Rattus norvegicus: one gene and its partners. The protein of the gene in region 1 interacts with the protein of each later gene in a biochemical or structural test. Links are inferred from orthologs where the notes say so. Each region holds a gene or a part of one and is shown in the gene's direction. Other genes may lie near its edges. The genes, in order: Med1, Esr1, Vdr, Hnf4a, Esr2, Thra and Rara.

What was found.
Region 2: the proteins of Med1 (region 1) and Esr1 form a complex in vitro, tested with the Homo sapiens proteins (6 studies listed by BioGRID). The link is inferred for Rattus norvegicus from reciprocal best matches to the Homo sapiens genes MED1 and ESR1.
Region 3: the proteins of Med1 (region 1) and Vdr form a complex in vitro, tested with the Homo sapiens proteins (5 studies listed by BioGRID). The link is inferred for Rattus norvegicus from reciprocal best matches to the Homo sapiens genes MED1 and VDR.
Region 4: the proteins of Med1 (region 1) and Hnf4a form a complex in vitro, tested with the Homo sapiens proteins (2 studies listed by BioGRID). The link is inferred for Rattus norvegicus from reciprocal best matches to the Homo sapiens genes MED1 and HNF4A.
Region 5: the proteins of Med1 (region 1) and Esr2 form a complex in vitro, tested with the Homo sapiens proteins (2 studies listed by BioGRID). The link is inferred for Rattus norvegicus from reciprocal best matches to the Homo sapiens genes MED1 and ESR2.
Region 6: the proteins of Med1 (region 1) and Thra form a complex in vitro, tested with the Homo sapiens proteins (6 studies listed by BioGRID, with this or other methods). The link is inferred for Rattus norvegicus from reciprocal best matches to the Homo sapiens genes MED1 and THRA.
Region 7: the proteins of Med1 (region 1) and Rara are reported together in a solved structure, tested with the Homo sapiens proteins (2 studies listed by BioGRID, with this or other methods). The link is inferred for Rattus norvegicus from reciprocal best matches to the Homo sapiens genes MED1 and RARA.

The regions. Positions count from the first base shown.
Region 1 is NC_086028.1:83,682,629-83,687,414, reverse strand, and holds the start of Med1 (mediator of RNA polymerase II transcription subunit 1), read left to right. Parts: upstream 1-1,869; 5' UTR 1,870-2,069; coding exon 2,070-2,094; intron 2,095-2,924; exon of another isoform or gene 2,925-2,999; intron 3,000-4,786. UniProt on the Homo sapiens protein: Component of the Mediator complex, a coactivator involved in the regulated transcription of nearly all RNA polymerase II-dependent genes.
Region 2 is NC_086019.1:43,510,029-43,514,646, forward strand, and holds the start of Esr1 (estrogen receptor), read left to right. Parts: upstream 1-1,661; 5' UTR 1,662-2,115; intron 2,116-4,618.
Region 3 is NC_086025.1:130,866,469-130,869,605, reverse strand, and holds the end of Vdr (vitamin D3 receptor), read left to right. Parts: coding exon 1-146; intron 147-341; coding exon 342-458; exon of another isoform or gene 459-1,422; intron 1,423-1,600; coding exon 1,601-1,860; 3' UTR 1,861-2,536; downstream 2,537-3,137.
Region 4 is NC_086021.1:172,640,424-172,645,100, forward strand, and holds the start of Hnf4a (hepatocyte nuclear factor 4-alpha), read left to right. Parts: upstream 1-1,412; 5' UTR 1,413-1,552; coding exon 1,553-1,667; intron 1,668-4,677. UniProt on the Homo sapiens protein: Transcriptional regulator which controls the expression of hepatic genes during the transition of endodermal cells to hepatic progenitor cells, facilitating the recruitment of RNA pol II to the promoters of target genes. Activates the transcription of CYP2C38.
Region 5 is NC_086024.1:100,630,759-100,634,801, reverse strand, and holds part of Esr2 (estrogen receptor beta), read left to right. Parts: intron 1-1,038; coding exon 1,039-1,211; intron 1,212-4,043.
Region 6 is NC_086028.1:84,196,371-84,201,020, forward strand, and holds the start of Thra (thyroid hormone receptor alpha), read left to right. Parts: upstream 1-1,770; 5' UTR 1,771-1,902; intron 1,903-2,082; exon of another isoform or gene 2,083-2,237; intron 2,238-4,650.
Region 7 is NC_086028.1:84,421,400-84,425,347, forward strand, and holds the end of Rara (retinoic acid receptor alpha), read left to right. Parts: intron 1-751; coding exon 752-956; intron 957-1,346; coding exon 1,347-1,505; intron 1,506-2,244; coding exon 2,245-2,462; 3' UTR 2,463-2,972; downstream 2,973-3,948. UniProt on the Homo sapiens protein: Receptor for retinoic acid. Retinoic acid receptors bind as heterodimers to their target response elements in response to their ligands, all-trans or 9-cis retinoic acid, and regulate gene expression in various biological processes.

The DNA.
Region 1 (4,786 bases):
TTGTCACTCTCTTCAGACACACCAGAAGAAGGTATGGGATCCTATTACAGATGGTTGTAAGCCACCATGTGGTTCTGGGAATTGAACTCAGGACCTCTGGAAGAGCGGTCAGTCCTCTTTTTTTTTTTTTCTTTTCTTTTTTTTTTTTTTTCAGAGCTGGGGACCGAACCCAGGGCCTTGTGCTTGCTAGGCAAGTGCTCTACCACTGAGCTAAAACCCCAACCCCTGCGGTCAGTCCTCTTAACCACTAAGCCATCTCTCCAGCCCACCAAGGCAACTCTTATAAGGACAACAGTTAACTGGGGCTGGCTTACAGGTTCAGAGGTTCATTATTATCCAAGTGTGAGCATGGCAGCATCCAGGCAGACAGAGCTGAGAGGTCTATATCTCCATCTGAAGGCTGCTATCAGAATACTCTCTTCCATAGGGCTAGGTTGAGGGTATTTAAGTCCATCTCCACACCTACTCCACTCCAACAAGGCCATGCCACCCCCCCCACCCCCCACCCCCCACCCCCCAGCTAAATCCCCAAACCCTAAGGCCATACTTCTTTTTTTTTTTTTTTTTTTCTTTCTTTTTTTCGGAGCTGGGGACCGAACCCAGGGCCTTGCGCTTGCTAGGCAAGCGCTCTACCACTGAGCTAAATCCCCCTGAACGCGCCCGATCTCGTCTGATCTCGGAAGCTAAGCAGGGTCGGGCCTGGTTAGTACTTGGATGGAAGGCCATACTTCTTAATGCCACTCCCTGGGCTGAGCAAACATCACACTGGGATAAGCCCACCAAGCTTGGTTTATGTTGTGCTGGGAATCAACACCAGAGTTTCTGCATGCAAAGCAAGCAGCCATAGGAATTACCCCAGTCCCTTCCTTCTTCCGTCCCTTCTTCCCTCCCTCCCTTTTCTTTCTTTCTCTTAAACAACATAACTGCTGCTTGTTCTTCAGGAAATTTCACCTTCCCACTTTCTCTAGGAATTAAACCCAGGACTTCAGGCACATGAAGCATGTGTGCTACTAGTGAGTTGCACGTCTTGTCATATCACAAATCTTACTTTTAGCCCCGAGGCAGGGTTTCTCTGTGCAGTCCTGGCTGTCCAAAAACTCTGTAGACCAGGTTGGCCTCATACTCACAGACAGCCACCTGCCTCTGCCTTCGGAGCGCTGGGAATAAAGGCACGCACCACAGCCAGGCAAACCTGACTGCCTTTGGCATTACGGATACTAAAATTCATTGGAAATCTTTCAGTAGAGAGATTATTTCGTAACGACTGGTTTTCACTATGGAGCTTGAAGTGGCTATGAATTTGCGATCCTCCTTCCTTTTTGGGATTATAGGAATGTGCTACTTCTCCAGGCGTTCAAAGAGCTAACTTTTTCTGTTGTACTTTGTGTTTTGTTTGTTTGTTGGTTTTTTTTTTTTTAAATTTTTTTTCTTTTTTTTTTCCGGAGCTGGGGACCGAACCCAGGGCCTTGCGCTTGCTAGGCAAGTGCTCTACCACTGAGCTAAATTCCCAACCCCTGTTTGTTTTTGATACAGAGTTTCTCTTTGTAGCAGTGGCTGTCCTGGAGCTCACTCTGTAGATCAGGCTGGCCTCGAACTCAGAGATCCACTGCCTACTGAGATAAAAGGCTTGCGCCACCAACGCTGCGCCAAAGAGCTAACGCTTCTAATTTACAAACGTGTATCTGACAAGATGCAAAGTTTCTAAGAGATGTCAACTCTTTCCACGGAAAGGTGTGAAGACTGAGCCAATCGGAGACAGTCCTGTTGGAAATCCCGCGGGAAGGGCGAATCAGCCAATTTCCGCGAGATTTTGGTGCTGTTCCTTCTTCCTCTGCCTGCAGGAACACGATTAATCTCGCGATCTTTGGGAAGTTCCGTTGGGGAAGATGGCGGCGGCCGCGAGCACCCTTCTCTTCTTGCCGCCGGGGACTTCAGACTGAACCTTCCCCGGAAGAGTGGGGGCCGCTGGTGCGCTGCTTCCCCGGAGTCCAGGCTAACTTGGTTCCCCTCTTAGTGGTGGGGAAAGGCTCCCTGGCTTGTGGCGGACCCAAGACCTCACCGCTGTCAGGATGAAGGCTCAGGGGGAAACCGAGGGTGAGTGACTAGGGGGTGGGGGGGAAGAAGGGGCGGGACACAACTGTGGGGAGCCAATCTGTGAGCGGAGGTGGGGACCCACGCCCCCCCCGTCCCCCCAGGGCCACTGTGCACGGAACTGGATCCAGGTGGATCCTGACCGAGCTTTACGGATGTTGGAGCTCCTACACTGAGGCTCCGCTCCGCCTCGCCTCCCCTTGTGAAAGATTTTCTGCAAGACTAGGGACAAGTAGATGAGCTTCAGGTTACTTTCAGCTTAGCCTGGTGGGTTACCAGGAGAGTGAAACTGAAACTTGATGCTTTGTTCCAGGAGAGATCGCTGAAGATGACACTAGAACAATGTGTCAAAGTGATGGAGGATGTTTTGGTGTGAGTGACATGGTGCGGTCTTTATTATAATAAAAGCTAGTAGTTTCTTGGAATGTCATAGTGTTCAAATACTGTGCTGTGTTTTTAAAAACTACTCTTTCAATTGTTCCTGAATAATGGCTTTAAAGCTCGGGGGAAATGTATTCAGAACTATGAACTAGCAGGAACAAAACCCAAACCACTTTCCCAGTTGAAGGAAGAAAAGGGAAGGGATTGAGTCTTTTTTGTTTTCTTTCAAGACAAGGTCTTCCTGCATCAGCCTCCCAAGTGCCAGCTTAACATACCATCATAGCCAGCTAAGAGTTTAAATCTTGGTTTAACTATCCCCCTCCTAACCTTAACTCAGATAGACTGGCTTATCCAAAATGAAGTCTCGACATTTTTAGGAAAGTGGACGATACTCAAAATAAGCTGTATTTAGCTAATACCACATTTTCTCTTATGCGGAATCTCAATTTAAGTATGTGTTGGCGTGGTGTACTGGTTGTCAAAATATGGGACCATGTGAGAAAGAAGGAGATCTTCAGGATAGAAAGGTAAATGGAGTTTGAACTAAATGGAAGCCTTGACTGTTTTGAGGTTGGGGCAGGGGTGGCTGTCAGAGGAAGAAGACTCAGACCCAGTGTAACATCTTACATCTATAAGAATGCCAAAATGATACCCATTGCTTTGTTTGTTAATTTAAAAATAATTTAGAGGCTGCAGATATTAGAGCAAGGTCGTTTGCCCACAGGTTCAATCCCCAGCACCAAAAGAAAAGGAAAAAAGGAGAAAGCAACAAAAATGAATGATGTCATTGTTTTCATACTAAAAACTAATTATAGAAATGCCTAGCTCAAATTGTGCTCAAAATATATCCTTCAAGGTATTGCATCCCTATGTATGCAATTACAAGTTTTTTGTTTGCTTCAGTGGATAGTTTGAACAGAAGCTGGGCATTGCATACCTGTAGTCTCACCACTGAGAAGGTAGAGGCAGGAGGGGCAGGACTTCCCGACTGCCCTTTCCTTCTCAGCAAGTTCAGGCTCATTTAGGCTAAGTAAGACCTTGTCCAGAAAAAAAAAAAAAAAAAAAGGCTGCCAGTCAGTTGGTAAAATGCTTCCTGTGCATACATGAAAACAGGCCTGAATTTGGTCCCCAAGTGGTGATGATTCATGCCTTTAATCCTAGTACTTAGTAGGCAGAGGCAGGGGGATCCCTCAGTTTGAAGCCAGGCAGGTCTACAAAGAGACAGGACAGTCAGAGAAGCTCTGTCTTAACCCCAACCCCCCAAAATAAATAAAAAAGAAGGCGTCTGGGGGCTGGAGAGATGGCTCAGTGGTTAAGAACACTGTCTGTTCTTCCAGAGGTCCTGAGTTCAAATCCCAGCAACCACATGGTGGCTCACAACCATTTATAATGATATCTAGTGCCCTCTTCTGGCCTGCAGGCATACATGTAGGTAGAATGCTGTATACATAATAAAAAGTCTTAAAAAAAAAAGGCGTCTGTTTATAGTGGCATACAGCCATAGGAGGCTAAAGAAAAGGAGACAAGAGATGACTGAGGAGAGTCTGGGCTGTAATGCAAGCCCGGGTAGAGGGACAAGCATGTGGAGGCCACCCCTTATATTTCTGTATTTGGAGGTGGTCTACTGTAGCTACTGTGGGCTCTGGGGCGTGAACCCAGGCTCTCATGTTTGGCATGGGATGCCTCTACTCAGGGAGCCACCTTGTCAGCCTCCAAGGTCATGCTCAGCTAGATGGACTTGGGGGTCAGCGGGGTGGCGAGAGAATGTCTGAAATGAAGGAAAAGCAGGGAGGGGCTGGAGACAGAGCTGGGGAGTTTTTGGCATGGGTTTAGATTTGGCTCCCAGGAAGCACATGCCCACAGGGCAGCTCACAACCATTTGTAGCTTTAGTTTCAGGAGTCTTGGTGCCTTCTAGCCTCCCTGCACAGACGTGTTATACATGCATGAGTCAAAAAACAAACAAAAAACCAAACACACACAACATAAATCTTTTTTTCTTTAAAGAATATGGGTTTCATGTGTGTAGTGGTTTTGTCTTCCTGTATTTCTGTGTACCAAGTATATACCTGGTGCCCTCAGAGTCCAGAAGAGGACAGCAGATTCCCTGGGACTGGATTTACATGTGGCCGTGAGCTGCCATGTGGGTGATGGGACTTGAACCCAGATCCTCTGAAAGAGTAGCTAGTGCTCTTAAAGGATGCGTTAGGCATTGTCAAACAGTACTTTGATGCCATACTTAAGAGGCAGAGGCAGGTGGATCTATTTGTTCAAAGCCACCCTTTTTAGACCCCGTCTAACACCAAACAAAACAAC
Region 2 (4,618 bases), on another chromosome or scaffold:
CTCTCTTTCTCTCTCTCTCTGTGTGTGTGTGTGTGTGTGTGTGTGCACGCGTACTCGCATGTGATAGGTGGATCCCAAGAGCTCACTGGCCGAGTAGCCCAGCCAGCTTCCCATTCCCTGTCTCAAGGAAACGCTGTGGAGAGCAACAGAGAAGCACACCAGTGTCTTGCTTTGGCCTCTGCATCATGGACAGAGGTGTGTGCTTCCCTGTGTCTGTCCACTTATTCATATGCATCCCCTCCACAACAAAGCAATACTCGACACTTGCTTCTGAGTCTGATGGATGTTCTATTTAGAGAACTCCTGCCTTAGGTAATTTTCTTCTCTGGATTGATGTGTACAACTGATTCTAACAGGTAGCTAAATGCTATTTGAAAGCATGATTCATCCAACCTGGCAAATCAAATAACAGAGGGATTCAATTAATTTAGAGGGAAAAAAACCACTTGGCTTTTAAAATGTTTGAACTATTCAAAACATTTTGTTGACTCACTTACCTCTCACAGGAAATCATAATAAAAACAATAAAGCCAGGGCCATCTTTGCCATGCTGAGGCTATAAGATTATTCCTTCTATAAATGAGTCTTATTAAGTTTAATGTTCTTTAATTTGAAATAAAACATTTCAGACAAGAAGTAAAACGCATCCCACTCTGTGAGGTCTGGGGGAATTAAATTCAGACACATTTGTGTATTTGAATTATTTTGAGGCCAAACTCACTAGGGTATAGAAAACCGAAGACAACTACGACAATTTATTATAATGAATGTGTAGATCATCAGTCATGAGACATTTGGAGTCTTTTCTTTTCCCAGCCAGTTCTGAGATGCTTTTCTTACCCAGCATGCACCAGTGTTCATGCATAGGGATTGAGACAGTGACCAGAGGGGTCTCTTCTGGTCTTTTGCCTGCTACCATTCTTATTTCCAGAAAAGCATTCTTTCTCAGACTTATAGAATAGGAGAAAAAAACCACAACAAGACATTAAAACAACAACCCAGCATTTAAAGCACATGTTACATAAAACACAACAGATTTTATGAGCTATTAAAATTTCAAAAGGTCTAAAAATATTAAGGGTCTGTGGATCAGAGGTAATGTGTTTGGTTAGCACATCAAAGTTTTGGGCCTATCCCTAGTACCAAAAAGGAAAATAAATTTAATATATTTTTAATCTCAGATTATTACTTCAGAGAATTTGTCTCTGAGTTTAAAAAAAAAAGAAAAGAGAAACAAACAAAATAAGTTTTTAAAAAGTCAGTCATATTGGCTAATGCCTGTAATTTTAGCATTTAGGGATCCTGAGAGTTTAAGGCTCTGAACTGCAGAGTGAGACCTTGTCTCAACAAAACAAAACAGAACAAAACAAAACAAAATGCAAGATTAAATCCCCAAAGCAAACAGGACTTGTAAATCACATCAGGAAATGTCAAGCAGTTTATAGAAGGCTCATACACCTGAAGGATTTCAGAGTTAGCTCGGGCTAAGCTGGTGCAAGTTTCCAAAATCAGGAACACCATTAATCAGTGACAAGAATTGCTGAGCGACTGGCTTAGCTCTTTGAGTCAATGAGTGAAAGAGAAACTCTGAGAAGCGCTCACCTTAGAAACACCCTTATTACCCTTAGCTAATTTTGGGTGAGGAAAATTTGTGTGCAGAAAGAACGCTTTCTTATTTTATTTTTCCAAGTCAACATGCTCGTCTAGACTTTGAGCTTTATTGCAAGGAAAGAGAAAATGGGTTGGATCACCTTTAAAAAAAAAAAAAAGTCTCAGCTAGCTTCACCAGAAGCTTGTCCCTCTGCAAACATCTATCTGTAGGCAAACGCTGAGAAAGTTGGAATCAGGCCTGGCTGGAGAGAGGAAAGCCACCCCCTCCCCTATTATCCGGAGCAGAGTTTCCAATCCCAGTCAAGTGGTGGTGCTAGCTCTTTGCTTCCGAGTCTGCATTTCCTAATTTCATGGTCATAACAGCCTCCGAACGGATTCTACCAAAACCGAAAACACAAGGCTCCATGCTCAGCAGCCCTGTGACGCCAGGAGAGGCCAATGCCCCCTCCTCTGCCATTGTCTAGCCTAAGAAGGCAGTCTCTGGGCGACATTCTTCTAAAGCAGGTACTTCTATTTATCTCCATTTCTTTACAATTTCCCCCCCTTTCGGCTATAATGTGCTACTGTGTGCAATCAGGATGGAGTCTCAGAGTTCACTTCTGTGAAAATATGCCCATTTTTCTCTCGCTCATTGCTCCAGGGATATTTTATAAAGTTTCTGGCAACCGTTATCATGTTAAACCTGACCTTGGTCCCATGGAAATTCACTCTGGGAGCTACATTCAGCTGAGTCAGACACAGTTATCTGTTCGTAGTGCAGCACTGACAGGCTCTCTCTGCCTGCCTCAGATCGCGTGTATTTATTGGTCCCAGGTCGAGCTATGGGGGATTCTGTATGGTTGAAACGTGCGCGAGTTTAAAAAAGTTCCTGCTCAGACTTCCCTCTGTACTCGTCTCAACATGACCTCGTTTCTTAATCTTCGGTGCCGTGAGCTTATGTGAGCTTGATCTAAGCGACTGCAAAAAGCCATCATCTGTTTTCCTGAATAGGCAAACGAGTTTTCTGAAAAGCTACGCAATCTAGTAATGCATCTTGTCTTGAAGTTGCCCTACAATTGTAGGCAAGTTCTGAGCCCTGTGGGTTTGGGTTTGGTTCTCTCTAACCTGAAAATAACCATGGGAAACTGCTTTTTTTTTTTTTTTTTTTTTTTTTGAGGCAAGGTGGTATGCGGGTTAAGGACGGTGCCACAGAGCGAGTGCCACTTGTCGGTGACGTGGTAGTTACAAAAGGCAGAAAAGGATACTTTCATTTTGGCCACAGGAAAGCCACCCGTTTCCTGTAGTGGAAAGTCTCATGCTTGACCAAGAAGTTGCCAGTGTTTGTTCTCTCTGACTTGCCCAAAAAAGTCTAGCTGGTTAAAATTTATTTTAATTTTTTTAAACCTAATGTAAGGGTTGGGTTTTATTAAGATGATGTTCAATCGTGACATGCGGTACCACTCAAGGGTGCCAGATGTTTTAAAATTAGCTTCTTGGGCCAAATCTAATAGATTTACAGAGCACCTCCACCCACAAGGTTTATGGGAAATGTATTTGGTTTTGAATTTGAAACAATAATGTATGCAGAGAGGACGGATGTTGGAGTACCAATTTAAAGTATTTGAACTTTTTTTTTTTTTAACAAAGTCAGTAGGGTGGGAACCTCTGTCATCTCAGGGATCAGAAACCTATTTATATTCATTAAAATTCTTTCCTGTTTCTCAAAAAAAAAAAGGCGGCAAATGTTTGCCCACATTTTGTCAATAGCCCCTGAAGGCCCATTCTAGGCCCTGTACAGCTGTAATGCTATAGAGGTTGGATCCAGTCTTGTAGCGACTGGTGGATTTTTGTCATAGAAATTAGAAGTAACACTGACATAGAGATGAGAGACAAGGCAACCAGGAAAATTGGCAAAATATTGAGTGTGAATGCCAGGGTTATATTCATGAGTGGGAGGTGCTGTTTTGACACGTGAAGGTTGTTGTTCAGTTTGGTTGCCCACGACAGTAAAGGAAGAGAATAAGACAACTTGCTTTCCTTCAGCCTTTCACTCAGTTTAGGACTTAGAACCACTTGCTTCTCGTCGTCCTCAGACATACAAACTCCTAAGCCCGTAGACATCCCACCAGATGCCTGCTGTGTGTGCTAACACAGGTGGTTATCTCTGCCTGTCTCTGTACTTTTGGTCCACTTGGTCAGAATGTGTGCTTGAGATGAGGCCACAGTTGAGCTGAAGTTTGTTCCATGGGTACAGGGAGGCTGTAGAGAAAAACAGACAAGAGAGACCACCATGCCTCTGTTCTGCTAAAACATGTAGGAGGTGTGATCCTGTCCATCCACCTCTGCCTGGGTTGACTGGCTGTTGTTTACTGAGAAAGTGATACCACCTATGAGGTTCCTGCAAAGAGCCTAACAAAGTGTGTGTGTGTGTGTGTGTGTGTGTGTGTGTGTGTGTGTGCATGAGGTATATGTGTGTAGGGGCATGTGTGTTCCACAGTGAACATGTGGAGGTCAGAGGACATTTTGTGGAGTCACTTCTCTGCCATCTTCTCATGGGCTCTGGGGATTGAACTCAGGACACCAGGCTTGCTCAGCAAGTACTTTACCCCTGAGCCATCTCACTGAACCCCCTGATGCTCTTTTTAAAGGTAAGCACTTTACAGGTAACTTTTGCTAAAGATAGTTATGATAGCTGTGATTTCTGTCTCTCTAGCAACATTTCAATAGTCTTCTTCTACATCAGCCTAGGTTAGCCTAGTTAGGGTTCTGGTTAGCAAAACTTCATGCATGACTTTCTAGGGTGTGTGTGTGTGTGTGTGTGTGTGTGTGTGTGTGTGTGTGTGTAGACAGCCTCCAGCCGTGTGATGAAGCTTGCATGTGAGCTGCGGGTGGTGATGGGATGTTAGACAAAGTGTCATGTCTTCCTTGCGGTGTCAACCTCCTTGTGAGATGTTCTGTGGTGTGAGATGCGTGCGATGTAGGAGAAGCACTTTCTTTCCTGGTGCAAAAAAAAAAAAAAATCAAGAGT
Region 3 (3,137 bases), on another chromosome or scaffold:
CACCTCCGATGACCAGATTGTCCTGCTTAAGTCAAGCGCCATTGAGGTGATCATGTTACGCTCCAACCAGTCTTTCACCATGGATGATATGTCCTGGGACTGTGGCAGCCAGGACTACAAGTACGACGTCACCGATGTCTCCAAAGGTGTGGAGGGCGTCCTCCTATACTTCCTCCAGCTCCCAGACTCTACCTCTATCCTGGCACTGGACCTCTGGGGGTTTGACCAGATACGGGGAAGGGGAGTGGGCAGCAAGAGAGAGGAGGGAAGGGGTAATGCCCAGGGGGGGTTTCAGGTAGGGGTGAATGTCTCTACCTGACCCTGGCTGCTCTCTTTCACAGCTGGGCACACCCTGGAGCTGATCGAGCCCCTCATAAAGTTCCAGGTGGGGCTGAAGAAGCTGAACTTACATGAGGAAGAGCATGTCCTTCTCATGGCCATCTGCATTGTCTCCCCGGGTACGGAGCCTGGCAGGGAGGAGCTGAGGGACCTGGGACACGTTGGGGACTGTGAATGACAGAGAGCTTCTCAGAGCCAGCAGGGAAGTCTGGGGGAGGAATGAACGAGAGAAGTGACAAGGAAATGTTCACTTTGCTGGGTTTGCACAGCCCAGAAGGCCTGTGGAGGGGTCGCTTGACACATGTGGCTTTGTCTTATGCAGGCCAAGGTGATTCATAGGATTCTGAGGAACCAGATGAGCAGGGTTCCACAGCTTATTCATGGGACTTGGGTGTTCCTAATACTCAGGCTCTGTTCTTGCGTGACCTCGGATGAACTTTCCAGTCTCCTGAGTTCCTCCGATGCAGGCACAAATCCTTGGGGACTAATATATGCTTCTGCCTGAGTTGACTTTGGAGGCTGGAGGCTGTAACCCAAAGGGAGGAGACACTGAGAAGGAAGTTGTTGTGATCTTGAAGAAATTGGTGATAAAACCCAAAGAACAGAGCCCTGACTCAGCCTGGACCATGTGTGCACAGGGGACAAACTAGTGGCCTATGGCCAGGAATGCCTAGTCTGAAGGCCCAAAGGACAGACATATGCCTCCCTCCTGCTGTCTAGCTGACGTGTGTTCACTTATTCACACGCTCAGTAATGATTAACTGAGCATCTACTATGGCCAGACACTGGGCTAGGCACAGGGAGTTGCAGTAAAAAGGATAGACTTCTCTCCCATGAGAGTTAAAGGAAAACAAAATATTACGAGAATGTTGAATATGAAGATGCTGCCGGAGAGATCCTGGTATAGGTCACGGGGGCGTGGAGATGGAGGGTTACCAGGAACGACCTTCTTCAGAAAGCGCTTTGCGCCTGTTCCGTGATAACCGGTTGGTCAGGGGGGAAAGACGAGAGCTGATTTCCAGGCAACGGGGAGGTCTGTTAGCCAGAGTAGGAAGTACCTGAGTTCCAAAGCAAGGACTGAACCTAGAGACAGAAGAAGTAGGGTGAGGTGGGAACAGGACCAAATGAGCCCGCGAAAGGATTTGGTCCCAAATGCAGGGGATGTCATCAGGGGGATGCTGGCATGGGGTACCTGGGTGATGGTGGATTCTGTGAAACTGAACAGTGAACATCCTGTCTCCCTCCATCCCCTGGGACACAGACCGACCTGGGGTCCAGGACGCCAAGCTGGTGGAAGCCATTCAGGACCGCCTATCCAACACGCTGCAGACCTACATCCGCTGCCGCCACCCGCCCCCAGGCAGCCACCAGCTCTATGCCAAGATGATCCAGAAACTGGCCGACCTGCGGAGCCTCAACGAGGAACACTCCAAACAATACCGCTCCCTCTCCTTCCAGCCCGAGAATAGCATGAAGCTCACACCCCTTGTGCTGGAGGTGTTCGGCAATGAGATCTCCTGACCAGGGTGGCCCACAGTGGTGCCTGGGTAGGGCCGCTCCTCCAGAGCCCTGTGCCCAGGCCCTGGGCTGGTTGCAGCCCAGCAGTGCCTCCTGCCCTTTCTGGAGTTCAGTCCTTCCTCTGCCATGGCCTCTGTCTGTCTGCCTCATCCTTTCTCCTGCCCAGCCTAACACCTGGTCTCCCTTTCCTGTAGACCTCGAGTTGCTCCTGTCTCTTGAGACCTCAGTTAGGAGAGGCTGCTGTTTATCTGACAAAGGAACTCAATTGGGGATAGAGGGCAGGGGCTGAAGGCAGAACTCTGCCTAGGGGATGCCTCCACCACAAGGGGCTGCTGCTTGTGTCAAGGGAGGCAGGCAGAAGAGACGCATTCACTCCTCAGGGACAGGTACCTGCACCTCCCCTCACTCCAGCCCTACCTGCCCAAAGCCTGGTGAGAAATCTGGCCCCTGCCTGCGAAGGGTACACAACCTACCCATCATCCCTACTGTGTCCCGTCTCATCCTGCCGCCTGTCTGTGTTATTCTGACCCGGGGGAGTAGGTCACTGAGGGGCCTCCTTCCTCTGCCTTTATACTCACGGGGCTCACTCACTGCCAAGATGACCAAATACACTACCACACGAACCAAGGAGCACTCACCCAGCCCTGCAGTTCCCACCTTTGAGGTTTTGCCATGGGAATTCCCCAGGGCCAGTACCTGTGGTACAGGGGGCTTCTTCCCCATGCCCAGAACCAGGGACCTAGAAACCACCATTGGAAAGGCCCCAGGAGATAGAATACAGGGCCCAAGTAATGAAGAACAGAGAAAGTCAGCCTCCCAGCAGAACAATGAATGAAGGTCCATCTATCTTGGTCATCAAGCTGAGGGTTCTGAAGCCTGGAGCTGTTGGGACCTCTCCTCTATAGCTATTAGATGTGTCAGGACCAAGTTGTCCCCAACTTTCAGGAAATCCATAGCCCTGTCTCCATCCCTTACCCCGCCAGTGTTTTACCACCTACCCAAGAAAGCAGGTCCTCTGGCCTCACACGACCTCCCAATTTGACCACCAGGAGTATCCCGGGAGTCATCTTGGCAGCAGTGCCCCCCACACACACACACACCAATGAGAGCTACCTTGTCCGCCCAATAGAATGGGATGGGAGAAGACCAACAGCTGCCCAAATGGGCCTCCGAGCCTCCTTTCCAGATGTAAGGCCAGATACAAATGCTCCCCCCTCAGGGGAAAGGTGGAGGGATGGTCAGAGCTTGTGGTACAGTGATCTGGGGCCGGTTCCTCCTGA
Region 4 (4,677 bases), on another chromosome or scaffold:
CACACTCGACCATCTGTGACTCTCTCTCCTCAGCTAGTGGGAATCTCAAAAGTGTCAGCAGAGAAGGACACAGAGAGGGACTGCACAAAAGGACAGGTGCTCCAGGTCCAGGGTTAAACCCCTTAAAAGGTGTAGACAATGAAATGAACATTAAAAGAAAAGTAAAGATGGCTCAGTGGTTAAGAACACTGGCTGCTCTTCCAGAGGACCAGAGTTTAATTCCCAGCACTTATATGGCAGTTCACAACTGTCTGTAATTCCAGTTCCAGGGAATCCAAATCCCTCTTCTGGCCTCCCTAGATCCAGGCATGCATGTGGTGCACAGACATACGTGCAAGCAAAACTCCTACGTATAGTGTATTTTTAATCTAAAAAACCCAACAAACTTTAAAAGGGTGGAATGAGTGTTAAGGCATGCAGAGAATCCTGCCCCAAAGGGAAGAGGTGGACAGAAAAAAACAGGGAGGCAAAGGGGAAGGTGGAGACCCAAAATGAGAACAGGTATTAGGCATGGTGGCACAGTCCTGGTAATTCCAGATCTTGGAAGGCTGGAGTGTCAAGAATTTGAGTCCAACCTGGGCTACACCGCAGAACAAAATGATGACTTGGAGTTTGGGGGTTAGCCAGTGCACCTGGGCAGTTATTTTTATATCTTAGGAATTACCCAAACTACCCTTTCTGATGGCCCTGTACATTTTATGAGATGGAAACTGAGGCTTGGAAAGAGTCACAATAAGCAGGTGGCAAGGGCTGCAGATCTTGTCTGTGCCTATCCTGGGAGGGGTAGGTGCTGTGGAAGCATTCGGTGTGACAGAGAGCCCTCCATGACGTCTGGTCCAGCTGGAGCAACCAGGAGCTATCAGGGGCTAGGGAAGAGACTTGAAGGTGAGTCCCAGTGGTTCTCAAAGACAGCTGACAAACCACAAGGGAACCAGAAGAATTCTCCTCAGCAAGGATCCAAAAGACCCAAGTGTGGGCTTGGGGATTAGGTTTCTAATTCAAGCGACCCAGGACCGCTTTATCTCAAATTGAGGATGGAAGTCAATGATTTGAGAAGTGGTTGGTTTAGGGTTTCATGGTGGTAGACTTGTTCAGTGTCCAAGAACGTCAGCTGGGATGTCCAACTTGGTAGGACTTGGGGGCTGCTGAAGCGATGGTCCAACAAGTGCCAGTCTTGTTCGGTGCCTGTCTTGGAAGATTGGAAACTGAATATTAATGAGTGGGGGCCCAACAGTTGTAATTTAGCACCCCAGGTGTCAGTCAGAAACCAACAAACAGCCAAATCCCTGTGACTCCGCCCAGACTACCCGGCAACGGGGGTGATTAACCATTAACTCCCACCCCTCCCCACAGAGCCTCCACCCTCTGCAGAGGCTAGGCCAGGACGCCAGGCTGAATCTCCCAGAGGACAGTTTGAAACAGAGGAAGGCAGAGAAGGGACCTGGGAGGAGGCAGGAGGAGGGCGGGGACGGAGGGGCTGGGGCTCAGCCCAGGGGCTTGGGTAGCATCCTGGGCAGGGCAGGACAGGGGGCTGAGGGGTGGGTAGAGGAGAATGCGACTCTCTAAAACCCTCGCCGACATGGACATGGCTGACTACAGTGCTGCCTTGGACCCAGCCTACACCACCCTGGAGTTTGAAAATGTGCAGGTGTTGACCATGGGCAATGGTAGGTGGGGGCAATCATGCCCAGGTATGGAACGGATCTTTGGCACTGGACTTTGGGATGGGAGGGGAGATACAGAAAACTGTAGGTTGGCCCTATAGACTCGTACAGGTGTTGTCAGGTGAAGCAAGTGGGCCTTTGTACTGTGGCCAGAGATATTCTGGGTGACCGAGACCTACAGAGGTGGATTTCCAACAGAAAATTTCCCAAGATCCTCCCTACCTAGGCCCCGGGGTCTTACGCTGCCCTGCTTACCAGGAAATGGGGCCATGATCGTGAGCTTCCTCTGGGTGGCTACCGCAATCCTATCCAACATGGCCCTATCTTCCAGGTCCCCGGGCCCTTTTCTGTGTAAGCAACAAAAGGTCTGTCTTGTCTCTAGAGATTGTGACAGGAGGCATGTCTACATTTCAGACTTTGGGAAACTGGACTTCAGGAGAAAAGTAGGCTTTTCAGACTTCCCAGCTAAAAGGCCAATACAGTGGTGTTTACATGGTCGGTCCTAGGTGTCCTTGTATGTGGCGTGGCAAATGCCGGAATACAGCTGTGTGTCTGATCCCCTTTTCGAGTTTGTGTCCCGGCTTCATTTGTATGTATCAAATGGTCTGTAGTTCTGTCTCCAGGACCATTTGGTTTTTGTTTCATTTCGTTTTTTTTTTTTTTTTTTTTTTTTGTTTGGCTTGAATATATGTATGTCTAGTATCTGTAAATGTGGGTGACAGAGTGGACACGCTTGTAAATGAGGGCATACCCTGTGCTTTTGGCCTGGTGACTCTGGATGGCATGTTTTCTTAGCACATGTCCATACAGCCCCTGTGCTACTGGGCACCGCTCTCTGTTGTACAGGATTGTGTAGCGCCATTGGACAGGGCTTTTTGTTTGTTTGTTATATATATATTTTTGAGATAGGGTTTCTACATAGCTCTAGTTGTCCTAAAACTCACTACGTAGACCAGGTTATCCTCAAACTGAGAGTTCCACCTGCCTTTGCCTCCCAGGTGCTAAGATTAAAGGCATGCACCCACCGGGTCCAGCTTGGTTCTGTTTGTTTCGTTTTTGTTTTTGTTTTTGTTTTTTATACAGAGAGTATGCATTCCTGAGCTGGCCTGAAAGTTAGAACATACTCCCATGTCTAGCCTGGAACTTGAGGTCCTCTGACCCAGATTCCCAAAACACCATGGTTATGTTGTGAGGGTCTTAACCGTAACTGTATTCCAAAACTTAGGATTCCCGGCAGCAGCATGTGTGTCTGTGTCTGTTGTCCCTGTGTCACCATCATTCAAGCACCTGTTCCAATATCACCGAGAATATGTCCGTGGGGGTTGGGTGGGGGGAGGGTGTTTCCTTTGCCACTTCTGGAGGATGAGAAGCTTCTGGAAGGGATGGGACCAGGTTCCGGGCTAGCACTGGGGAGATGGCACCTGGCTGAGGCTGGCCCTGCCACCACTTTCCTTCTATGACTCCACGACACAGCTTTTGGGTTTCAAGGCTTAGGTCTGGAAAACTGTGCACTCTTGATCTAGCCAGAAGGAGGAGGCAGCGTGGGCTCTGTCCATGGTCAGTCCTCCCCATCCCCCACCCCCGCCGCTTGCCCCTAGTACTGTGTGACCTCCTGTATGTTACCTCTTTCGCCTCTTATGCAGTATGGAAATGGGTTCCTTTACCCCAGCCTTGTTGGCCATGGGCGATTCAGAGGAGGTACTCAGAGAAGTGTTTAGGGTGAACAAGTTGCTTCTGCCCCGAGGTGGTAGCACGTGACACCCCCAACCCCCACCCCCAGGGAGGACAGTACTTGTCACACTCCTGGCCACCACACAGCCCCTTCAGTGTCTGAGAGTTCTGTGTTCCTGTACCCGAGGCCGAGCCCTTGATTAAATGTCCTGAGGACACATCAGTCACCCCCAGCTCTGGAAAAACCCTTCCTCCCCAGTCTCAGTTTCTTCATCTGTAAAACTTGGATAGATTGAACGGCATATAAGGTTTACAAGGTCTTTCCTTGTGCTTGCTTGATCCCTCCATGGGTGGTCTCCAGGACTTGGCATATGTCGGCATATGTTGGTCATATGCCCTTCTGGAGTTCACAGAGGTCTGAGAGTTGAGGTTATAGGAGGCTGTCCTCCAAAGGGATTGGGGTCCATCCTGAGCTAATGGCTAGAAGTGCTAAGGATATCTGTTCCCACAATCCATCCCCACTTCACAGAGAGCAGAAGGGTCCCCACAGATCTCCAGGCATGGGCAACATGGCTAGAGAGCACAGTATATTAACCCATAGGCCCAGCCCCTCTGACTGGCAGCAGTGTAATGATACTGGACAAGTCCCTTGTTCTCTTCGAGTCTCGGTGTTCCTAACTGGGAAATGGAAGTGACCTGCTGACCTCAGGGGGAGTTGATCCAGTTGGCTGTACCTAGTCCGTGCTGCCCATCAAGGGGACAGCTTGCCGTCCTCTGCCCAAGTTGCGGGCTCAGCTCTCCCCGGGGGTCAAGAGAGGAGAGGACAAGGGAGAAAGAGCCAATGAAGTTTAACAATTATCCCTGCCTTGGGAATAATTCACCAGCCGGAGGGGGCTCCGCTCTGAACACTCAGAAGTCCTAGGAACGGTTCAGCGAGAAGACAGCAGAAATGAGGAACAGATACAAGACGCCTGCTGAGGGAGTTCTCGGCTGCCGAGAAGAGTTTAATTTCACAGACAGTTCTAGAACTTACCGTGTGCCAAGCATTTCCAGCTGACTGACTCACTGACTGTGGACAGCTCCGAGAGCTGACCATGCTCTGTCTGACAGGTGGAGGGGGGCAATGACAAGAAATAGCCCAGTACCATGAGACCAATTGGGAATTAGATCCAACGCTATGAAACCTCAGAGTCTCTGCTTCAGCATACCACAGCCCTCTCCGGTTTGCAATAGGACATTCCCTTAGGAATCCAAGGTCAAATGCTGAGACTCTCTCTATAGAAAGGCCCTCGTGTGTGTGTGTGTGTGTGTGTGTGTGTGTGTGTGTGTGTGTGTGTGTGTG
Region 5 (4,043 bases), on another chromosome or scaffold:
GGGTGGTGGCATGCTCCTCTCTTTGCAGGTTAGTACGAAGGAAGACGTAAGTAAAGGTTTTTACTTGGCCACCTACATTCTTAGGATACTGGACACATGTTGCTCTGTCCTACTCTGATGTTCCAGTTCTCAAAAAGTTGTGCTTATGGATGAACACTATGAAGAGAGTTCACCATAATGGATAGTCTCTTTATGCAACATAAAACTTAACATCAGTTTGATTTGGGCAAAGGTGTTGGGTTTTAAATGTTTTGTTTATAACAATATTTCCCGTGTTAGAGGAGCCAGGAGCCAGAGGGCCCACCTCAGAGCTAGAGGCATGTTTAACATCCTTGGGACTCTGGGTCTAACCCGCAGCACCCCAAAACCTAGCATCTCTGAGCCCCAAACTGAACCAAAACAACCTTTAAGAAAATACACAATTATTTTTTCTTCGTAATCTTTTCATTTATTGGTAGGAGAAACAAATATAAAAACTGTGAGTCCTGTCTTAAGACGAGTGCTCTTAACTCACCCCTCTTTAAAGGGTGAAATGTCTTTTCATCATTTCTAGACTAGCAATAGATTTACTATCTCTCTCCCCAAAAGAAACAAATCCTGGTAAAATCAGCCCCTGGGCAGAGTGTGCAGCTGTCCCTGCTGCCTCTCTGCTGGGCTCTTCCCAGCCCAGCCCGGAGGTGCCTGCTTTATAGCCTTCCTTCTGAGGACTTGTCCTCACCAGGTGGGCTCTCACTCTTTTTTTTTTTTTTTTTTTCTTTTTTTCCGGAGCTGACCCAGGGCCTTGCGCTTCCTAGGCAAGCGCTCTACCACTGAGCTAAATCCCCAACACCCAGGTGGGCTCTCAAATGTCAATCACCCCCACGCTGGAGCTCCCAGCGATCTGATATCAGGTTTCCTGGAACATATTTATCCCTAGCCCTGGAAGGCAAAGAGATTAAATTTGGCAAAGCTCATGCTATTTTTTTCCTGTAAAGCCCCTCCCCTCTCCTTTGTATCCTCTGACAATGGCTATATTCTCTGCTCCCCCCCCCCCACCAGAGAGACACTGAAGAGGAAGCTTAGTGGGAGCAGTTGTGCCAGCCCTGTTACTAGTCCAAACGCAAAGAGGGATGCTCACTTCTGCGCCGTCTGCAGCGATTATGCATCTGGGTATCATTACGGCGTTTGGTCATGTGAAGGATGTAAGGCCTTTTTTAAAAGAAGCATTCAAGGTACGAGGGTATGATAATCATTTCTTTAGTAGTCACACCTTAGCTTGCAAGGAGTTTTGCACAGATGATCTGATGTAATGGTCATGTTGGCCTGGCTGCTATACTTCATGAGCTGGAATATTTGTGTGTGGGCATGGGTTGAGTGAGGGTATGTGGGTGCTTGGATTACATGTTTCTACCCCAGAACCTCAAGATTATAGAAGTCAGTTTGCCCCTACATTACCTAACTAGGTAAGGGGGATATTTAGAAAAGGAGAGAAGATATCTATTTACAACCTTGTAAAGATACTTCTAGGAAAAAAAATCGGTGCTTATCAGGAGCTCCAAAGCATGTCTGTCTGTCTGTCTGTTCGTTTTGTCCTATGTTTAATATAGGGCTATGCTTGTATCATGATGGTGGGCTGGCTCCTGAGGGGAAAAGAATAATTAAAATTTATGGAAATGATCAGGAATTAACTGTAGCAGACTTTGAGAAGTATGTCGTCCTTGGACTCACGGATTGCAATCTCCTAGTTTTGATCTGACATCAGACTGTCTCCTTGACCCTCCCAGGAGTCTTTGATGGTGGTTACTTACTTGGTGTGTACTTGTTCATGATGTGTTTGCTGTTAATTTGTGTGTGTTGGGGAGGGCATGAGTAGGCCACAGCATAGGTGTGGAAGATCGAAGGACGATGTGCTGAAGTCAGTTCTTTCTTTCCACTTTGTGGGTCTTGGGGCTCGAATTCAGGCCCTCATGTTGGCAACAAATGCCTTTACCCCAGAGCCTGTGTTGGTTTTTTTTACTCATATTTTTAATAAACTTCAACTGTGCACACCTGGCTTCAAGGCTAGCCAGCCTGATTGTCCTCGACACTTCTCCCTCGCCTGCGCCCCTCTACCTTACAAGCCCTGAAGTACTGAAGTCACTTATTTCTTTTAAAGGTATTTATTTTTGTGTGTGTGGAAGGGTACATGTATGTAAAGAAGTGCAGGTAGACATGTGTGCATGTGTGTGGAGAGGTGTGTGTGTGTAGGCACACGTGTGCACGTGTGTATGCATATGTGTGGAGGTCACAGATAGACATCTGGTATTTTCCTCTATTGCTTTCAATTTTTATTTTTAAAATATCATTTTATGGGCTGGACAGATGGCTCAGAGGTTAAGAGCACTGACTGCTCTTCCAGAAGACCTGAGTTCAATTCCCAGCAACCATATAGTGGCTCACAACCATCTGTCAAGGGATCCGATGCCCTCTTCTGGTGTGTCTGAGGACAGCTACAATGTACTCATATACTTAAAATAAATAACCAATTCTTTAAAAAAAAATTACTTTACTGTATGTGTTTAAGGGTTTAGCCCCATGTGTGTCTGTGTACCACATATGTGCCTGGTGCCCGGGGAGGCCAAAACAGACCATCAGATCACTTGAAACAGGAGTTCCAGATGGTTCTGAGCTGCCAGGTAGGTGCTGGGAATTGAACCAGAGTCCTTTGTAAGAGCAACAAGGGCCCTTAATCACTGAGGCATCTCTCCAGCACTCCCTGTCTTTATTTTCTGAACAGCATCTCTCACTTGGGGCCAGAGCTTGCCCTTTGGGCTGGACTGGCTGACAAGACAAGCTTTCAGAATCTTGCTGGCTCAACACTGGGATTGCAAGCATGGGCTTACCTAGGTGTTGGGACTCTGAATTCAAGTCCTCAGGCTTGCACCACGGCAGCTGAGTTACTGAGGTGTTTCCCTGACTCCAAAGTCACTGTCTTATGACCTTCCTTGGCATGTCTCTGTTCTGTCTCTCTGTCCTCTCCCCTAAGCTTCCTCTCAGGCAATCTCTGCTTCAAGCGGTCCTTTTCCGCTCAGTTCAAGTTCTCAACTCACTAACAGCACATGGGGTACCGGACTGAGAATGACAATTTAACTTGTCCATTGATAATTCTAGATAAATAGGACATTTTGCCTCAAGAGAGAAACACTGGTGACATCTGGAGTCTGGAGGCATGAGCCATCTCTCTGTGTGTCGCTGAAGTGTACCCTGTACGGATGGCCACCTGTTGGTACTGGCTTCTTCATTTATTAGCCTTACAGCTTTTCCTCCATCCTGTCTCTGCTTCTGTGCACTGGGGGTATTCGTGGAGTGGTAGTGGTGAAATATATTCATTAAGTATTTTTATTTATGATAACTGGAGCAGTAGATTATAGGCCCAGGTCTAGTTCCCCTCTGATCAGAGCAATTCAGATGTTCTGAAATTCAGATTTGAAAGGTTTTTGCTTGTTTGTTTCTTTTAGATGGGTTCACAATGTAGCCTAGAACTCTGCACAGCCCAAGCTAGTCTTAAACTAACAAAAATTATTTACTGGGGCTGGAGAGGCGGCTCGATGAATAGTACTAGCTGCTTTCCCAGAGGACCCAAGTCCAATTTCTAGCACCACACAGGAATACATGTAGTTGTAACACCAATATGTATTTTAAAAAGGATTCATTATTATAGGGGTGTGTGTGTGTGTGTGTGTGTGTGTGTGTGTGTGTGTATGCGTGCGCACGTGCTGTGTGCATATGGTCAATGCCATGGTCTGAGTATAGACACCAGAGGCAAGCTCTGGTCCCCAGGTCTGCATGGCTGTAAGTTTTGTGGGCTGAGCCAGCTTGTTGGCTCCACCTTACTTTTTGAGACAGGGTCTCTCACTGAAGTTAGAACTCACCAATTTGGTTAGCCTAGCAGCCATCATGTTCCAGGGGTCCTCTTGTTTTTCCCTCCCCAGCACTGGGTAATAGACACCCAATGCCCTGCCTCACTTTTCACTAGGTGCTGGGGGACCTTAATCAGCTTTTGTAGCGAGCTCTTTATTGAGCCA
Region 6 (4,650 bases), about 510 kb from region 1:
GTCCAGGTGGCTTCGATTGGCAGACAGCCATCCTGCGTTGCCTCAGCGCACCAGAGAACACAGTGCTCTAAACTACAGCTGTTGCATGCCCACTGGGGGCCGGGACTGAGCAGGTTTATTTACTGTTTGCTGACTCTGCACACTACAGCCTCAATTCCCCACTGCAGCTGCCACTGTACAGTGCAGGCTTCTTTCAACCATTGTGTGTGTCCCTCCGTCCCCCCTTCCCATCACCAGTAACCGTAGGCTTCCCCTTCATTTCTTCCTCACCCAGCGTCCCTCCTTTTGTATCAGGAGCCCCACGAGAGAGGCATTCTCCCTTCTCCTCATCCCTTGCAAACCCTTAAAACCTCTTGTACGAGAAGTGACTCCGTTGGCTCAGGGTGTAGGTGGCTGAGACTAGGATGAGCAAGGACAGCCCGACTTGGATAGACTGTTGGTCAGCATCCCACTCAGCAAACGATTCTATCCAGTATGAACGGTTAGAAGAGCAGCTCCCCTGACACACTCTCTGGCTCCTCCCCAAGAGCAGGCTGTGGAGGCAGGGCTCCGCCCTGGGAGCCGTGGGAAGGCTATGGCCCCCGCTGGTAAAACTGGGCTAATGACAGCGGGGGAACCGGCGGGGCCAGAGGGGGGTGCTAGGGTAATTAGACCTCTGCCTGGCGGTAGTAGATCCCGAGATGAAAGGGGCTCTGGCGTCACTGGCAGGATTTTATGTCCATGAATGCAGGTGTGTGTGTGTGTGTGTGTGTGTGTGTGTGTGTGTGTGTGTGTGTGTCTCGCACGTGCGTGCGCGTGCGCGCGCAAGGGTCCGGAACTGGCATGGAGACCTCTCCTTTGAGAAAACGAGTCCACCTTTCTGCAGTCACTCCGCTCCTTAGGTTGGCTCTTGAACCATTTGGTTTTTGATGGTACAAACGGGAGAGGAAATATCACCTCAGTGAAGCTGGGAGATAAGGGGCTGTCTTGTCCTAGCCAGTCTTGTCCGCCCCCATTCCCCAAGCTTGGCATAGGAGTATATTGTTGGGGAAAGGATGGTGGGCAGTGAATAGAAGAGCTTCTATGGAGAACAGAGACGTTTGCAAGAGGAGGCAGTGGATCCAGCATTAATGTTAAAAGACGAGAGAGGAGGCACAATATGGAACCACCCTCCAAAAGGGCTGGAAAATAGGATGGTTGAAGTTAGGAGGATTTCAGAAGTAATCTGTGCAACTCTTGGATTTTGAGCTCTTACCCTGAAAGCTGTAATTCGTTCAAGGTCACACAGGGGAGTTGCTCCGAAAGAAGGGACCCGAACTCTGAAACAAACTACCCTTAGCATTTGGTATCTGGACTTCCTCCCGGATTTATAAGGTGTAGAGATCTCCTCCATCCTTCTCCCCTTACCCCAGGGAACAAACCAGAAACCCCCCCAATTCTCCCCGCGAGTGAAAGCTATTATATCTGAAAATGACATCTTTCTCAAAACGTTTCACCGAGCGTCGCTCCTGGACAGAGCCGCAGGGGGGATGAGGTGGGTGAGTCTGAGCCTGGTAGGGGCCAAGGAGGTAGATGTGCTGCGGGGCGGTAGGCCAGGGTCCCGGGAGCGGCGGGGGGCGAGGGGCGGGGACCGGCGGCTTCTAGGCGGCCTGCAGGGAGCAGCCGCGAGCCGGCCGAACGCGCGGAGCTGGAGCCCCAGCCGGAGCGGGGCGGGGGAGGGAGGAGCCAGAGCGGCCGCCGCCTCTGCCGGAGGAGCCGCGGGGCCGCCACACTCGCCCCCCGCCCCCCCGCGCTCACTCGCACTCACACCCCGGCGCTGGAGGCGGGCGGCCCGGGCCCCACCGGCCCCCCATGGACGCCCCCGGCACGGGGCGCTGAGACCCCCGCGTCCTTGCTCAGCTCGGTCCAGCGCGCCAAGCCGAGGTAAGGAGGAGGGAGCGAGGGGGCATTAATATGCAAATGCATCGCGATTGATTATGCAAAGCCGCGGGTCTCTGGCCAGCTCGGAGGCGGGCTGGGGGCGCCCAGGGGGTTCCCGCCGCCGACCTCAGCCTTTCCCGGCGCCCGGGTGACCCTGTCACAGCCCGAGAGCTAGTCACTTACGCCCTGGGGAAGGAAGGTGCTGTTAAGTGGTCGGTGGGCCCTGGGGTTCGCCCGCGGAGATGGCGTCTGGGCCTCCCCTTCGAGGGCCCGCCCCGGCCTCTGTCCGGCCGGTCTGCTGCGCATTCCCGGGATGGGCCCCGCTGCCTGCCGAAGCTCCCCCGCCCGCCGCGCCGCGCCGCGGTTTGTTTACGGTGTGCCAGAAGCCTGTCGTGTACCCCCCACCCCCACCAAGCCCCCAGCCAAAGAGACCGAATAGCCTTTGCAAAGCTGCCTCTAGCTACGGAGGGCAATGTGGGTGCGGCAGGGTGGGGGGGCTTGCATGGGCTGGGGGAGAGAGAAGCCCCCCTCCCCTCCCCACCTCTCCAGTTGAGCATGGCTTTCTGGTTGCAACACTCCTAATTGCAAAAACGCGGCGGGTGGGGTGGAGTCGGGGGGGGTGGAGTGTGAGCGTGTAGTAGTGGGGGTGTACTTGATGGTCCCTGGATGATTAGAATTGCTGGCCTGTGGTTGGGGAAGAGAGGAAGAAATGGACCCGTGGTGTGTGTGTGTGTGTGTGTGTGTGTGTGTGTGTGTGTGTGTGTGTGTGTGTACACGCGGGCACGCGCGCCTGTGCATGTTTCCCCTGTTTCCCTCCCTTTGCAACGTGTCTCTGATGCCCCTTTTCTGTCTTGGGCCCTCCCTTGTCCAGTGTGAAAAGAAGGCCTGGGAAGATGTCAGAGGCAATGGAGAGAGCCACCCATTTTAGGGACTGGAGGGGGAGCACACAGAAGGAAAGCCAGGGAGATGGGAGCCTGCCCCAGAATGCTGGCTCTGGACCCAAGAGGGGGAGGGGATGAAGGGGGCCATTGTCCAAGATGAAGGGGGAGGCAAAGGTGACATGCAGACACAGATATGCCTACACAGACAGCCACATGCACACTCGGGGACACCCAGGCAGATTCAAGGACAGGAGCTGCTGGACACACCCACATGGGGACAAGGGAAGAGGCAGGCCGCCACTGCATAGTGGAGCTCCTGGGGTGGGACACACCCACGGGAGACCAAGAGCAGAGCGGAGAGACAGCCTATGCACATACCCACGCACAGGTTCACAGGGAGCTGCTGTCACACACCGGGGTAAGGAGGAGTCGCTGTCACCCACACCGAGAAAGTCACTATCGAATGCATGCATGCATGCACACATGGCAATTTGCACACAGCCCCACGACCATAAAAGACTTTATCATTCAGAAGCACACACATGTGCACATGTGCCCAGTCGTGCAGCAGCCATCATTGCTTGCCATGACAGTCACTGTCACTCAGGCAAACAAACAAACAAACAAACCTGAGGCTACACATCAATACATTTGTACACAATTTAGCAACAAGTATTTTCCTGGATTCATCTGTGGAGCTGAGGTTCTGTAGACAATAAAATCCCTGCTACGGAGGAAATCACCTTCATCTGTGTTAAAAGACTTTTCTGCAAAAATGGTGCAAAGCATGCATTCCTGATAAAATAGTTTCATTTCTGTCACTGGCCATACCAGTTACTAGATGGCAGGCTCCTTAAGACATGGGAGAATCTCTAGAAGAGCCTGGATCCCACCCAGAGCCTAGCACAGTATGTGCTCTGTAAACACTTGTTAATTGATTGACTGTGGGAACTCTAGGCACAGGTGCACTTTTTTACACCTAGTCTCACAGGTGCAGGGGCCATGCACAGGGCTCCGACTGAAGTCACAGGTCCCACCTGGCAGTGTCCAGATAACCCTGCAGGTTGACACATTGTAGCTGGGGGCGGGAAGGCGCTTAAATGCACATAATCACAGACTTTTCTCTTTGGCTTCTTTCTATCTTTTAGGCTCTGGCACTGTGTAGCAATGGGCTCCCCCCCTCCGCCCCCTCTTTAGAGGGACAGGGGAAACAAGAGCAAAGTGGGTGCAAGGGGGTTCCAGAGGGCCGAGTCATAGGCCTGCAGCAGTGTCCAGTGACTTCTAGCAGCTGGGTTTGTCCTGGTTGCTGGGGGAGGGGTGTCTGGGGAAGAGTTGGGAGTGGCTCTCTGGCCCTCTCATCCCTAGCCTGTAAGCCAGTGTGGACCTAGCTGCCTCTGCTTGGGGTCATTTGGCTGGGCCTTTCCTGGGGACCCTTAGTTGTCCCCAGCTGAGTGCTAGCCTCCCACTGCGAATCCGCCCCTTTTCTCACCTCTGGCCCTCCTGTCCAAACTTGGAAGCTTTCCTTAGGAGGCCGTAAGCTGGCGAGTGGCTGAGTGAGTGAGGTGTATTTTTGACTTGGAATTTCTCTCTAACTCCGTCTCTCTCTCTCTGTTGCTGTCTTGGGGTGTCTGACTCCTGCTGTTCCTCCGCCAGTTTGTAACGTTCTGTCTTGCCCTGTGCTCCTCTCTGTTTCTGCCACGGCCTCTTTTCTCCAAGCTGGCAACAACATTCTTCATACTTTTCCAGTTGTTAATACTCAGATTCAGGCCCTCTGGCCCGCCCAGCCTTCCTCTGGGGTCAGTAGGAGGTTGGGGGGGGGGCGTGCTCAGCTGGCTGTTCAGGACATCCTGCGCTTCCTCAACGCCACAGC
Region 7 (3,948 bases), about 740 kb from region 1:
GCAGTCACTTTCTGATGCTTTCCCGGAGTCCACTGTGGGCTCCTGTCCACCTAGCTGTATCACGGGAAGGTGGCCATTCCTGGGAGCAGGAAGTAGAGGGGCCTGCTGCTGGGACACAGTGCTGGAGCGTTTGGTAGCCTGAGTTGTGGATGCCGGATGTAGTAAGAATTGTCCGAGTGAAGGCTAAGAGTAGGACTCCCGGTAATGTCTTCCAGACACATCGTAGGTAGAGAACTAGAGGCACGGACAGGTCTGCTGGGAAGGGGAGGGTGTCATGTGCCCGGTCCCCAGTGCACAGATGTGGGAGGCGCCATTGGCACAAAGTGTTGAAGCTGAATGGGATGGTCCTAGGAACAGATCTGCCTTGTTTCTTGCTGGCTGGAAACTCCTTTCCCTCCTGATTTCTCTATACGAAGGCAGCATGGCCTAGATCTGCTGGCCAGAGCAATCTCCTGGATACGCATGCGCGTCTATTTAAATTTAATTACAATCAGACTCAGTTCAGTCTCCCGGTTGCATTAGCCACATCTCGAGTGTTCAGCAGCCACATGGGGCCGGTGGCTACCGTCTCGGATGCTGCAGACAGAACCTTTCCATCACTGGAGAAAATTCTTGTCAGACAGCCATGCTCTCTGGCTGCTTGCCAGGGAGAGAGAGGCCTCCGGGGGATGCTGGAGCTGGTGTGCCAGGGGCTGGGGCAGGACTTGGGGGCGCTCCAGCCTCTGAACCCGTATACATCCTCTGCACCCAGATTCTGCGAATCTGCACGCGGTACACACCTGAGCAAGACACAATGACCTTCTCAGATGGACTGACCCTGAACCGGACTCAGATGCACAACGCTGGCTTTGGCCCCCTCACCGACTTGGTCTTTGCCTTCGCCAACCAGCTGCTGCCCCTGGAGATGGACGATGCTGAGACCGGACTGCTCAGTGCCATCTGCCTCATCTGTGGAGGTGGGTGAGGCGCAGGTGGCTCTCAGGAGGCGTCACCCTGCTGTAGTGATGATGGTGGCAGGGGAGACCTGCTGGGAATCCCCTGCTTTCTGTGAGGGGAGCCGCCCGCATTGGGGCAGGGGTTTCCATATCCACCAACACAGCTGCTACGGAGAGCTTTGAGAAGCCCACACCCCACTCTTGTTTTAGAGTATAAAGTATATCTCTTGCCTACGAGCCCAGAGACCCTTCCTGGCCAGGTGTGTGGGAGCAGCCTTCTGCCCTCTGTGGCTTGGGCACACCGCCCCCAAGTGGCCATATCTGGGAATGCAACTGTATTCCTGGTCGGTGGAGTTGGCTGGGGCTGGGACTGGGGCTGGGGCTCTTGCTCAGGGACAGTTTTGTGCTCAGACCGACAGGACCTGGAGCAGCCAGACAAGGTGGACATGCTGCAGGAGCCGCTGTTGGAAGCACTGAAAGTCTATGTCCGGAAACGGAGGCCCAGCCGACCCCACATGTTCCCCAAGATGCTGATGAAGATCACGGACCTTCGGAGTATCAGCGCCAAGGGTGAGTCTCCTGGTGGCCTTCACCTAGGGCAGTGGTTTCTAGCATGGGTGGGGGGGTCACGAACCCTCGGGGGTTACATGACTCACAGCGAGTCTCATGTCAGACATTCACATGAGGGCTCATAACAGTAACAGATTTGAAGTAGCAATGGAATGATTTTATGGTTGGGGTCGCCGCCGCCGGAGGAACTTGTGTATTAAAAGGGTTGCAGCATTAGGAAGGCTGAGAACTATGGACCTAGAGGGAGGCCCACCCAGGACTGGCCTGGGACCTGCTGTCCACAGTCAAGCTGGTCCCTCATGTCTTGGTGTCTACACGGTGTCTTCCTAATCGGCATGTCCCCATCTGTCTTAAGCCGTGGCTCTCTAGTTGTCACTTTTCCACTTTAAGACAAGCCTCTATAATAAGCTGTGTGGGTGTAGTCTGTGGAAAGGGCGTTTGCCAGCTCTGAGCCTGTTTCCTGTGTGTGTGTGTGTCGGTGGGGGGATGATAATGTTTGGAAGCGTCTGCTGGATAACCCTTGACACGGGGCATTGGGGCCAAACCTAAACAAGAAGCCTGAATTCACAATGTTTCACCCAGTCTCCACACTGGGGGCTCAGGAGAGCTGGCCTATGTCAAGTAACTGAGCCCCCAGGTGCAATGTGCGGTAGATGCCCACGTGGGTGGTACTGGTCCCCTCGCCCCGTGACCCTCCCCTTCTGGTCTGGCTCTCTGACCTCCCCCTCCTCCCCCACAGGAGCTGAACGGGTGATCACATTGAAGATGGAGATCCCTGGTTCCATGCCACCACTTATCCAGGAAATGTTGGAGAACTCTGAGGGCTTGGACACTCTAAGCGGACAGTCGGGGGGCGGAACACGAGATGGGGGTGGCCTGGCCCCTCCTCCGGGTAGCTGTAGCCCCAGCCTCAGTCCCAGCTCCCACAGAAGCAGCCCAGCCACTCAATCCCCATGACCACCTCGACACATGGACAGCCCTCACCCCTGCCCTGGCTTTCTCTGCCTTCCTACTGGCCATGTGACCTATCAGCCCAGCCCTGCTTGTCCTTCCGGACAGAACTGGGGACCTTCCAGGGGGGACAGGAGGGAGAAGGCAGTGACTCTGTGGACAGAGGCCTGGACCCTGAGATGGACTGCTCTCTCCTGGCAGCCTGGGCTGGCATCAGGGGCCAGGCATTGAGCCACGTGAGGACCTGGGCCTGAGCCCTCACCCAGCTTGCCATGTCTTCATCACCAGCAAACACCAGGGCCTGGCTCCCTGTCCTCCGAACTCAAGCCATCACCCCCCAGTTGGGGAACTTCCCCCTGCTTCGGATGGTGACAGAAGATGCCCAGGGTGGGGGAGACCCCCTGTACATATCCTGCGTACCAACCCCCAGATATTAATTCTCGATGGTTTTGTTTTTATTTTAATTTTTTTTGTTTTGTTTTTTTTTAATAAGAATTTTCATTTTAAGCACATTTATACTGAAGGAATTTGTGCTGTGTATTGGGGGAGCTGGATCTAGAGCTGAAGGGGGTGGGCCCTGGGGATGGGCAGGGCTCAGAAGGGCTCCCCTCTCCCCTGATGTCCGAGCGGATGCTCCCACCTCCAGTCTTTTCTCCTCAGTTTTCTCTAATACTGTGAAAAACTAACTTTCCAAGGCCACCTTCCCTACCCTGTGCAGGAAAGCAGCTCCCTCCTCCCTTTGCCTAGCCACTGGGTGTGGGCATCTTGGGCAGCTACCCCTGGGAGGAGGAGATCCTGGCTTTTGGCTTGTCTCCTTACTCACCAAGAAGCAGGGTAAGGGTGAAGCTAGGGCCCCTGGGATGAGTAGGCTGTTACTCCTCACTGCCCGTCAGAGCTCACTTCATCCAAGCCCCAGCCCCACTGTGAAGGGGCCGGCTAAGGGGTCCAAGTTTACCCCAGCCCCCAGCCTCATAGCCACCAGCACCCCATGGGGCCCTCCAACACACATGCGCATGTACTCATGCGTGGACACACACACACACACAAACACACACATACACACACACACCTCTGGCCTGAGTTCCTCCAATTCCCCCCAGCCTACCCCTAACCCCTCAGCCCCCTCCTTGCCCCGCAGGACGGGACTCCAGGGGGTCCCCTCCCCTACACCCCTGGGCTGGGGGAGCAGGCTCTACCTTGCCCTCCTGCCTGGGTGGGGTCTCACCCTGGAGCCCACTGGTGCACTTGTTCCTGCTGGGTTTCCACTGAGATCTACTGGAGAAAGAATAAAGTTCTATTTATTCTATAATGCCTCTGCCTCTCTGCCTCTCCCCTCTCTTCTCCCTGTCTGGGCAGGGGACTCAAGATGGGGTGCTTTCTACAGGCCCAGGGTCACAGTGGCTAAGCACAAGCACTAAGTACCAAAGGCTTGGCCAGTGTTTCTCCAGGTTGCTCTCTGGTGGGGTCTGGTTCTGGGAATCCCTGAGAGCTG